Linked DNA regions of Ovis aries. Each later gene encodes a partner of the first gene's protein in a complex. Links are inferred from orthologs where the notes say so. Each region holds a gene or a part of one and is shown on either strand. Other genes may lie near its edges.

Region 1 (4,280 bases):
GTAGTGCCAGATCTGAAGGCTATGTCTCCAGTCTTCCGGTTCAAGCTCTTTCCACAGCACCTGCTACTTTCCAGCATCACTGCAGGCTTTCTAAACACTCTCAAAGGGTGAGGTGGAGCTCTTCCTTGGGAGTCAGCCCCTCCCATTTCAGAGCTGCCTCTGCTCTTCCATTGCATGAATTATAGATGCAAGAAATTACTAAAGCCTAAATAGGCAGATGAGTTCCCTTTCTCGACCCATTCTGTCAATCAGGAAGGTGGTCGGTCGGCAACACTTAGAGTTATCAGTTCCTCCGATAGTTAAATTCTTGTTCTAATTCATCTAAAATCCACTGTCACTATGCATTGTGCATAGCACACTGAAGAAGGAGCATTCTGGTTTTGAAATATGTGACCAGTTCAGTCATCTGGTTCGTGTCTAAGAATTATATATATGGCTGATTGGCGTGCATAATTTGGGGCAGCATCCTTCTAACAACTGTTTGATGATTCTTCGACAGGAAATCTGGCTGCATTAAATTCCTTCCTTCTGGCCCCAGAGATGTCCATCTAAGCAGCTAATGGCTAATACGACTAACAGAGGAACAACAGAGTTCACAGGAAAGAGAATTCAACTTGACATTATAATTATTTGCATTAGAACCTTGTCTCTGTCCATCACCAGCAGACCGACTTTAATACTGGTGGTTTCTAAGCCTCTCCCGTAATCTGTAAATCTGTAAGATGTTGAACAGATATAAACTTGATTCATATATAAGTTATTATTGGTCCAATACTATACTTTGACAATACTATCAAATTATGGTATTGGACCAATACCATAATTTGATGATCGGTTAACTCCAGAAATGAGAAGACAACAATAATATGGAAAATGTTAAACACTCTGTGTCTGGGATCCTACCAGTCTAACTAGGTGTAAAACCCTGCTCAGCAACTAATCAGTTGTGTAATCTTGAGCAAGTTTCATCATTTTTATCTTTTATTTATCATTAAAAAGTTCAAAAATACTCAAAATAGAAGGCCGGGATTAACTAAAGTGATACACTATCACCAGCTTAAGTAATTTTCAGTATTTTGCTAATATCCTTTCATCTCTCCCAACACTTCCCCCGCTCCGAGGTATTTTAAAACACATTTGGGCAAGCTGTTGTTTTAAAGATCTCTGTGCGTCAGTTTTCTCATCTAGGAAATGAAGATTATAACATCAAATTCATGGGGTAGCACTGTACTGAGTATTCCGTACTATTACTATTTATGATGGTACCTATGCACACCTCCTCCCCCTTCAGCTACGCGCACCCGGTTCAGGACAGAGGTTGTTAAACAAAAGGCCTGGAAGAACAGGAGTCCTGCGTCGCTAAGACTGCGAGCACCCTCTTCAGGCCACCCTCCTTCAGAACAGCTCAATTTAAGGAGGAAGTTTGTCCTTCGCAGGCTCTCGTCGCCACGCGTAAAAATGAGGGGCGGGAACAGGAAATGGGTTGGGCCGAATTCCGGGCGCCGGGAGGCTGCGGAGAAGATCCGAGAGGTTGGCAGCTGGGAGCCGTTAGCGAGAGCTGAGATGTTCCGGATCGAAGGCCTTGCGCCGAAGCTGGACCCAGAGGAGATGAAACGGAAGATGCGCGAGGATGTGATCTCCTCCATACGGAACTTCCTCATCTATGTGGCCCTGTTGCGAGTCAGTAAGTACCCTCCGGGCTGTGGCCGCGAGACGCAGGGAGCTCGCCGCCACCTGCCCACCCGGCTCTGGTCCCACCGGCCTTGTGGGGGCCTTGGAGCAAGAGCTAAGCAGTTGTGAGGAACAAGAGCTGTGCACGCTGAGGGCGGCGGGCGCAAGCGGGCAAGGCTTAGGATTTACGGGTCAGGGTGGGGGTACCAAGTGCACGCGGCGAGCCGGACCACGAGGTTAATCACTCAGCCCCTCCTTAAGGACGATTGAGTTGAAAGAGCCTCTAAGGTTTGCGGGTGCGATCCCTGGGGTCGCGAAGATCCCTTGGAGAAGGATATGGGAACCCACTCCAGTATTCTTGCCTGGGAAGTCACATGGACAGAGAGCTAAAGTATATGGGGTCGCAAAGAGTCGGATGAGACTTGGCAACTAAACAAAACTAACTTAATCCCCAGGAGCAAGCCCCTCGTTTTGCAAACAGAAAAGCTGGTATCTAGAGTGGAGCAATAGCTGGCTCAAGGTCATTCAGCGATTCAGTGAATGATCTTGACCTAGAATCGAGAGTTCTTAACTGACTGCCAAGTTTCCTTCCATTAGTGCTAACCTTTAAAATCTAGATTTTGTTCCTTTTATTTGTAAAGAGAGTGAAATAGGTGATTACTTTTTCTTTTTTTTTTTTTTAGAAGAAGAAAGGATCGATAGAGTTAATGGTAATACCTGAACATTTATTTGATTTTTACGTTTGGTAGAAAATATTTGCATTGCCTGATTTTGGCCTAAGTCTCTGTATATCCTCTTTGCAAATAAGAACTCCATTTTCAGAAGGGACTTTCGCCAAGTAGTAGAATTATAGGCACACAGTACTGGAGCTAGATACAGTTTTATAGATCAGTGCTCTGGTTTTACTGATAGGAATCTCAGAAGTGAATTGCCCCTGTTGCTAGATTTCTAGTTCAGTATACTTTTTCATTGTTCCTTGTTCTGTATTATTGATAGGTCTGGATAGAGAGGAAGAGTTGATTCAGATAAATGGCGACCATACCACGGTCATCTTGTGTAAGGCTCATGTTAGGCCTAAGGCCAGAGTTCTTGAGGTCGGGTCTCTTTTACTCTGTCCTTCACTGTGTGTGGTGTTACTCTGCTTCCCCAGGAGAGGGAGCCCTTGGAAAACGGAAACTACCGTCATTTTGCTCCTTCAACAGCTTGCAACTCTCAACTTGACTAATTTCCTCCTCTTGCCTTTTTTTTTGGTTGACTTAGTTGCCAGTGAAACATTTGCTGCTTTTCAATGACCTTTGTGTTTGAGACGAATCAGTTTAAAAACAAAACAAAAGAGAATACTGATCCTTGAAAGTGACAGTGAAGTCGCTCAGTCGTGTCCGACTCTTTGTGAGCCCACCAGGCTCCTGCGTTCATGGGATTCTCCAGGCAAGAATACTGGAGTGGGTTGCCATTTCCTTCTCCAGGGGATCTTCCCAACCTAGGGATTGAACCCAGGTCTCCCGCATTGCAGGCAGACACTTTAACCTCTGAGCCCCGAGGGAAGCCTTACCACTTTTTAAATTGAGATGTAATTTGCATGTTATCCACTTAACCCATTTAAAGTATACAGTTCATTGGTTCTTTGTGTAGTCAAGAGTTGTGCAACCATCACCACAATCTATTTTAAAACATTTTCTTCCCTTCTGAAAGAAACACCATGCCCATTAGGTGTCATTCTCCCATTTTCCCCCTTCCCTAGCCCCTGGCAACCACTAAGGGACTTTTTGTCTTTAGAGGTTTCCCTATTCCAGATACTTTTTATAAATGGAACTGTACAGTATATGACCATGTCTAGCATAATGTTTTCAAGGTTTGTCCATACTGTAGCATGTATCAGTATTTCCTTTTTATTGCCAAATACTATTCCATTGTATGGATATACCACAGTTGATCCATTCTTTGGATGACTGTTACTTTTTTTTCTGATAAGAATTGGGGTTTTAAGTATTTAATGTATTAAATGCATTAATAATATTGTGTAATCATCACCACCATCTCCGGAACACTTTTTCTTTCGTAAAACTGGACTCTATAGCTGTTACACAGTAATTCCCCATTCCTTGCTCCTCCTAGCTGCTGGCAGCACCCCTCATCCCTTTTTTTTTTTTTAAGGAACCACTATACTGTGTTCCATAGCAGCAATACCATTTTTATACTCTTAGCAACAGGGTACAAGAGTACCATTTTCCCACATCCTTGCCAAGTTTTTTGACAGTAGCCATCCTCGTGGGTGTGAAGTGATATCTCACTGTAGTTTTGTTTTGCATTTCTCTAATGATTAATGATGCTGAGCATCTTTTCCCATGCTTATTTTGGCCACAGCACTGTTACACAAGACAAAAATATCACTTCTTTAGATCCCTATGACAGCACTTCCTTGTGTGCTAGACATTTCTATCTACACCACTCTACTCATAATAACTGAAATAGGACTGTATCAGATGTGAACTGAAGCACACAAATAATATATGACTAATCAGTGGGGGAACGAACATATGTGTCTAGCTTTCTGGATCCCTACTTCAGTGTTTTCCCCCACTCTCTGCCTTTCAAATGTGTTTTTTTTT
Region 2 (3,515 bases), about 190 Mb from region 1:
GAGTTTTAAGGTAGCTTTTTCACTCTCTTCCTTCATCAAAAGGCTCTTTAGTTCTTCTTCACTTTCTGCCATAAGGGTGGTGTCATCTGCTTATCTGAGGTTATTGATATTTCTCCCGGCAGTCTTGATTCCAGCTTGTGTTTCTTCCAGTCCAGCGTTTCTCATGATGTACTCTGCATATAAGTTAAATAAGCAGGGTGATAATATATAGCCTTGATGTACTCCTCTCCCAATTTTGAATCACTCTGTTGTTCCATGTCTGGTTCTCGCTGTTGCTTCTTGACCTGCATACAGGTTTCTCAGGAGGCAGGTCAGGTGGTCTGGTATTCCCATTCTTCTATGGAAGAATTTTCCAGTTTGTTGTGGTCCGCACAGTCAAAGGCTTTAGTGTAGTCAGTGAAGCGGAAGTAGATGTTTTTCTGGAATCCTCTTGCTTTCTTGATGATCCAACAGATGTTGGCAGTTTGACCTCTGGTTCCTCTGCCTTTTCTAAATCCAGCTTGAACATCTGGGGGTTCTCAGTTCACTTGCTATTGGAACCTGGCTTGGAGAATTTTGGCATTACGTTGCTAGCATGTGAGATGAGTGCAGCTGTGCAGTAGTCTGTTCCTGGGTCAGCGTGTCCTGAGGGTGGCTTTAGTGGAGGTATCAGAGGGCCTCGAGGTGCAGGGAGGAGAGGAGACGGCCTCTCACGTCTGCATGTCTCCCCACAGACGGCTGCCCCTGGTTGGTGATCACAGACTTTGGCTGCTGCTTGGCTGATGAGCGCGTCGGCCTGCAGTTGCCTTTCACCAGCTGGTACGTGGACCGCGGCGGAAATGGCTGCCTGATGGCTCCTGAGGTGAGTCCCACTGAGCGTGTCACGTGCCACCAGCAGAGCCTCTCCCACCAGGTCTCCTCTCTGTTTACTCAACCCTTTCATCTTTTCTGACCCGTAATTTGTCAGAAGTCCTCTCCCTGCCTCTCCGCCTGGAACTGAAGTCCCAGGAGAGATGCGTTTTGCCAGCCTGAAGTGGGCAGCCTGAGCACACTGGCTTGGACCTGAGCTACAGCTCGTTCCAGTTCTGGGTTCCTTGGGACAGAGTCCAGGCTAGTGCATGAATCGGGGGCCGTGCAGGAGCACAAACAGGTTTCAAGTGCCAGCAGTGTGACTGTTCACTTGTTGCTTTCCGAGCAGGTGTCCACGGCCTGCCCTGGCCCCAGGGCAGTGATCGACTACAGCAAGGCGGATGCCTGGGCGGTGGGCGCACTCGCCTATGAAATCTTTGGGCTCCCCAATCCCTTTTATGGCCAGGGCAGGGCCCACCTTGAAAGCCGCAGTTACCAGGAGGCTCAGCTGCCAGCACTGCCCGAGTGGGTGCCGTGGGACGTGAGGTGCCTGGTGAGGTCGCTGCTGCAGCGGGAGGCTTGCAAGGTGAGGCAGTTCAGGCTTACAGGGGGCGTGTGGATGGGAACCTCAGGTCGTGTTCTAGAGTAAAGGGCAGGGCTGGGCAGGCACCGGAGTGAAAAACGGCTCCTCTATCTTACAGAGGTGATAGCCACATACAGAACACACAACAGGCTGGAATATAGATAGGAGCAGGGGAGCTGGCCACCAAGTTTGGAGTCAGGATTCCAGCAGTCAACTCCTCTTGGCTTTAGTTGCTTAAAGTTACTCAGAGGGAAACAGATGCAGTTTTAAGATATGTTTAATGAAGATATAGAATCAGCTGAGATCTAACCAGATAGATAGGATGAACTCTTCTAAGAGATCTGGACATTTTGAAATTACTCCAAAGGCTAACACATTTGAAACCTTAAAAGGAGTGGCAGGGCCAGTGCAGGTGGCATGTGGAGTGGAAAAGCACGGGCAGACCAGGGCCCACAGGCCCGCCCTACCGCTTGCCCCTCACCACGGGCAGCAGGCTGTCACATGTGTGCACTGCCGTCATGAAGTTAGGACAACTCCCCTCACCCTAGACAGTCCAGTGGTGGCCTCCCAAGATTCCGATGCAGGGGACACAGGTTCGATCCCTGGTTGGGCAACTAAGATCACATATGCCATGCTGCATGGCGAAAAAAACCTTAATTTAAAAAAAGGCCCAGGATGGGGAGGCTATTCCAACAATGTCCTCTACCCATACTCCACCCCACCCCAAATTCGTACCCATGGGAAAGCCTGGGGCGTGGGTAGAATCGGCCAGTGTGTGTGCAGAGTACTGCAGGAGGGAGGGTGAAGAGCATGCTCAGGGCCAGAGAAGGGAAGACCCTGAAACAGGCTGCACTGAAAGCGGGCTGTGGGTGAAGACCGTCACAGGTGCTCTCAGCTCCGGCTCCCCTTCCTGTTGCAGAGGCCATCCGCCCGAGTGGCTGCTAACGTGCTTCACTTAAGCCTCTGGGGTGAACACACGCTCGCCCTGAAGAACCTGAAACCAGACGAGATGATTGGCTGGCTCCTCCAACAATCGGCCGCCACTCTGCTGGCCAACAGACTGACGGAGAACTGTGTGGAAACGAAAATGAAGATGCTGTTTCTGGCCAACCTGGAGTATGAAGCGCTGAGCCAGGCGGCCCTCCTCCTCGACTCCTGGAGGGCGGCCCCGAGACAGCTGCTGTAGCTGGTGAATTACTAAAAGAACTTTCCAGTATCTGTGTCGTGATGGTCTGTGAATGCTGAGCAAGTGCCTCCTAGGTGAGGGGATGGGGGAGTCAGGAGGAAAGATGGCACAGGGAGGGCGAGTCAGCAAAGAGAAGGCCTCAGGTTTGGGAGATGGAAGGAGCAGCTCGAGGTCACGGTCTAATCACTAACTCGCTCTAGCTGTGTGATTTTGCCTAGCTGTGTGATTCTGATGCATCATCCAAGTTCTCTTACCTGTGAAATGAAGACACTGCTCTCAATAGAGGTCAGCAAACTTTGGCTAGTGCTCAGGCTTTCGCAGCTACTCAGCTCTGCCATCATGGCGCAAAGACAGCCTTCAATGTGTGAACAAGTTCAGCTTCACTTAGGGACCCTGAGATTTGGAATTTCGTGTGTCACTACATATTCTTAATTTTTTCAACCACTTAAAAGGTAAAAACCATTTTTTAGCTTGCAGGCCTGCAAAAATCAGGCAGCAAGCCAGACCGGCCCACAGACCAAGTTTGCCAACCCCCGGTCTAACTGACCGCAAAGGGCCTAACCCTCAAGAGAAATGCTAGCCAGTTACCAGGCTCCTTTGTGCATCAGCACTGCCCACGTGATGCCCTGGGCACACAGATCCAAAGGATGAGCTCTGTCCTAGGCGAGAGGCTGCTCAGGCATAAACCACTGACCAGAGTCCTGTCCTCCTCGACCTCTGAAAAGTCAGTGGCCGAGCGGCTCTGTTAGGTGAGGCTGAGCTGAGGAAGGTCAGACCTGTGCTGTGGCCAGAGTTCACGCAGGTCAGGACAGTCAGGTGTCAGAGTGAACAGCACGTGAGTGAGGCCCGAGACGGGAGCCGCTGCAGTCAGTCATCTGTCCCAGAGCAGCCCTGGGTGCTGGTGACAAGCATCGCCGC
Region 3 (3,515 bases), on another chromosome or scaffold:
TGATCCCTGGTCAGGGAACTAGATCCCACATGCTACAATTAAAGGATTCCACATGCTGTAACCAAAAAAAGGGTCTTGTATGCTGCAGCTGAGACCCAACACAGGCAAATGAATAGATAAATAAATATCTTTTGAAAAAAGGAAAAATACTTAAGAGTCCTGGGCATAAACATACTCAATAACTCTTAATTTGAGTGTACTAATTATTTATATAATGGTCATAATCTAGCAGCCCTCCTTGGGGGGAAATTTCCACTTGTATTTTGTGAATTTAGAGAGTCTTAAATTTGAGTATTTTTAAAGAGGTTAATATTTTTATATTTGGATGTCTTGATTCTACCTAACAAACTCCCTCAAAGAGAGTAAAGTAAAACTATATTTTTTGTAATTTTTTTTCCTCCTAAAAATTTTTTTAGATTCTTTAGGGGATGGGTATAGTGTGTGCATATTGAATGTTATTATTTTGATAAATTATTTCTATAGTTAACTCCCTTAGTATATTTAGTGCACTTAGTGCAATTGGTATTTACTTAAATTAATAATTTTGTAGTTTCTTAATGCCTAGATTTGGATTTCTTGGGTTTTATATTGGTCACATCTGTTTGGTTTCTTTGGTCAGAAAGGAGGCCTGAGTATTCAGTGTGGGTGAGTGACTTACTAGCCCAGGGTAACAGGTTACAGAGAGCAGTGACTTGGTGTTTGTTTGTGTTCACTCTTCTGACTTGTTGGCCCCTTTTAAATAAGTTGCTGAAACACAAAGCCCTTCTTAAAAAAAGTAGAAGATTCAGTTCTAGTGTTTAAGATTTTACTTGCTGGCTGAAGGGACAAAATCAGCTTTAAACTGGGGAATAATCAGAGCAGTATATCTAGTACTAGATTGTTTGATAAATCAAAATCTTTGTTTGAAAGGAAAGGTTTACTGTGGACAGGAATGTATTTTATATTGTTTTCATAATGCATTCCTTTTGTGTTCAGTTCAGTCATTCAATCGTGTCTGACTCTTTGCGACCCCATGAACTGCAGCACGCCAGGCCTCCCTGTCCATCACCAACTCCCGGAGTTCACCCAAACCCATGTCCATTGAGTTGGTGATGCCGTCCAACCATCTCATCCTCTGTTGCCCCCTTCTTCTCTTGCCCTCAATCTTTCCCAGCATCAGGGTCTTTTCAAATGAGTCAGCTCTTCACATCAGCTTCAACATCAGTCCTTCCAATGAACACCCAGGACTGATCTCCTTTAAGATGGACTGGTTGGATCTTCTGCAGTCCAAGGGGCTCTCAAGAGTCTTCTCCAACACCACAGTTCAAATGCATCAATTCTTCTGCATTCAGCTTTCTTTAGAGTCCAACTCTCACATCCATACATGACCACTGGAAAAACCATAACCTTGACTAGATGGACCTTTGTTGGCAAAGTAATGTCTCTGCTTTTTAATATGGTTTTTAATATCCTTTTGTGTAGAGCACGTGAATATATGCAAAACTTTGACAAAATCAGACCTATTTAATCCTCCAGAGATAGGAGGCTTAAACTTTTTAAAGTTGCGATAACTGAGACCCGGAAAAGTGTCTTCCTTAGTGTTACTCATTTAGTAAATGCCAGCCAGAACTTGATATCAGGACTCCTAATTTTATATCCAGTGTTATTTGCTAACACAATCTGGTGCTTTTTACTATGGGCATTGAGCGCCGAGTTTTGACTCAGTTTCTATTGATGAAAGCATCTAATTTCAGGAGACAATGTGTAAGACTCTTATATAGTATATATGACCTGAAGAATTGAGTCTGTGTCACTGCAGAGCAGCAGTTACACAAATGATGTTTTGTAAGTGAAAGATGATTGGTCTTTTCTCCAATGGATACAGCTTTGGATATTTCCGCATTCTGCAAGTATCACAATTTCAGGTTGAAATTCTCTTCTTATCTCTAAAAAGTTCATATCAGCCGTTTTTAAATTTGGCTTTCCCATATAGAGTATAACATTGGTAGTCAAATTAGAACCCTCAAGGCATTTTAATATTTTATGTTCGAAGAGTTCAACTGCTTGCCTGTATACTAAGCTCATAAAGATTAGATTTCTGGATTATCTGTAGCAGATTTTAAATTTCAGATAAGCTCTTTCCATATTATATCTTCCTTTTCAGTTGGTGTACAGTTAGGGATTGGCAAGTTATTTATATTTGCTACAAACAGAAGATTATATGATATATCTCAAATCAGTCACTGCACAGATTTTTCTCCAGTGATCATCTGTTCTACAGAGTATAGTTTATATTATAGATGATATGAACCAGTTAAAGGGAATTTCCTTCCACCAATTTTTTTTTTTTTGGAAAATGTGAAAGGTGATTGGAAAGGCATAGAACCTGATGAAGACTGTGGCAGAAAAACAGAATATTGAGGTTACCAAAGAATTAAAAACTTTGTGTCATAGATTCTTTCAGTGGAGTGCTTTCCTTTTAGGGAATTTCAGGGACCATTTCATAGTAAATTGTGTGTAAACTGATTTTAATGGAGGGAGTGTATGATTAGCCATGCTGACCTAGTTAGTGTTTTCATTGACTATCTGGTAGATTGGAAGCAGTTCTAAAATACCCATTCACTATCCCTCTCCCCCCACTGATTTTTTTTTTTTAACTCAGGATCACTTTAGCAGGAATTTCCTTAAAAACTTTATAGTTTGTTGTTCACTTGAGAATCATATTCAAGTAACTTTTGATCTGTTGGTTGAAAATGTCAGCAGTAACAAGATGGTAGTAATTAACAAGCTAGTTTGTCACTCTTGTATTTACTCAGTAGCAGAGGGTTAGGAGTGTTTGGGAAGCTAGAAAAAGGGATTAGTGAATTACTAAGGGTTTCAGTGGGGTTTGTGTAAGTTAGAAAGTGTATCATTGCAGGCTTACGAGAAAGTTTCTGAACTTTTTTATTGTCTTGTTAGGAATTCTCGACATCTGGTTCATCTAATACAGACACTGGTAAAGTTACTGGGACCTTGGAGACCAAATATAAATGGTGTGAGTATGGTCTGACTTTCACAGAAAAGTGGAACACTGATAACACTCTGGGAACAGAAATCGCTATTGAAGACCAGGTAACATTTTGAAAATGTGGTTTAGTATTATTTTATTTTTGTGTTTCAAAAAGGAAATAAACTGAAAAAAAATTCTTTTTCTCTTGAAATAGATTTGCCAAGGTTTGAAACTGACATTTGATACCACCTTTTCACCAAACACAGGGTAAGCATGGGCATTTTTATCTGCTTTAAGTTTAAAGCTTTCTTCAGTGTATTTAAGGAAAGGTACACATTCAGGTGCTATGTGTTGGCAAGTTTCTGTTTCTGCCTTTGGAGCATGAGCAGTATGGTTCTTGGCTTGCCTTCAGCTATTTGCCTTTTATCACTGTGCCACTAACTTGGAATGAACATTTTTTTAAATAGGTTTTTGTGACTGATAGCAACTCTGCAAAGCATTCTTCCTATAGTAGTGGCAATCTAGTCACCCCAAGTGCCTTTGTCTT

Evidence for each region. Proteins that work in one complex are often made in the same cells at the same time.
Region 2: the proteins of TOMM5 (region 1) and PINK1 are in contact, whole or in part, in a cryo-EM structure (PDB 9EII), measured with the Homo sapiens proteins. The link is inferred for Ovis aries from reciprocal best matches to the Homo sapiens genes TOMM5 and PINK1. Residues at the interface, in NP_001001790.1 of Homo sapiens: Met1, Phe2, Arg3, Ile4, Gly6, Leu7, Ala8, Lys10, Leu11, Asp12, Pro13, Glu14, Met16, Lys17, Arg18; in NP_115785.1 of Homo sapiens: Gln484, Ala488, Gln491, Ser495, Lys496, Pro498, Val502, Lys520, Leu522, Lys523, Leu524, Met527, Glu565, Cys568, Gln569, Ala571, Leu572, Leu573, Cys575, Ser576, Trp577, Ala579, Ala580.
Region 3: the proteins of TOMM5 (region 1) and VDAC2 are in contact, whole or in part, in a cryo-EM structure (PDB 9EII), measured with the Homo sapiens proteins. The link is inferred for Ovis aries from reciprocal best matches to the Homo sapiens genes TOMM5 and VDAC2. Residues at the interface, in NP_001001790.1 of Homo sapiens: Ile25, Arg29, Leu32, Ile33, Ala36, Arg39, Val40, Phe43, Ile44, Lys47; in NP_001171752.1 of Homo sapiens: Val38, Thr60, Gly63, Asp239, Tyr258, Gln260, Thr261, Leu262, Leu268, Leu270, Val286, Leu288.

What each region holds. Positions count from the first base shown.
Region 1 is NC_056055.1:51,176,000-51,180,279, forward strand, and holds the start of TOMM5 (mitochondrial import receptor subunit TOM5 homolog), read left to right. Parts: upstream 1-1,480; 5' UTR 1,481-1,563; coding exon 1,564-1,684; intron 1,685-4,280.
Region 2 is NC_056055.1:245,716,911-245,720,425, reverse strand, and holds part of PINK1 (serine/threonine-protein kinase PINK1, mitochondrial), read left to right. Parts: intron 1-713; coding exon 714-841; intron 842-1,177; coding exon 1,178-1,414; intron 1,415-2,330; coding exon 2,331-2,597; 3' UTR 2,598-3,515. UniProt on the Homo sapiens protein: Serine/threonine-protein kinase which acts as a sensor of mitochondrial damage and protects against mitochondrial dysfunction during cellular stress.
Region 3 is NC_056078.1:30,190,370-30,193,884, forward strand, and holds part of VDAC2 (voltage-dependent anion-selective channel protein 2), read left to right. Parts: intron 1-2,937; coding exon 2,938-3,090; intron 3,091-3,182; coding exon 3,183-3,235; intron 3,236-3,515. UniProt on the Homo sapiens protein: Non-selective voltage-gated ion channel that mediates the transport of anions and cations through the mitochondrion outer membrane and plasma membrane.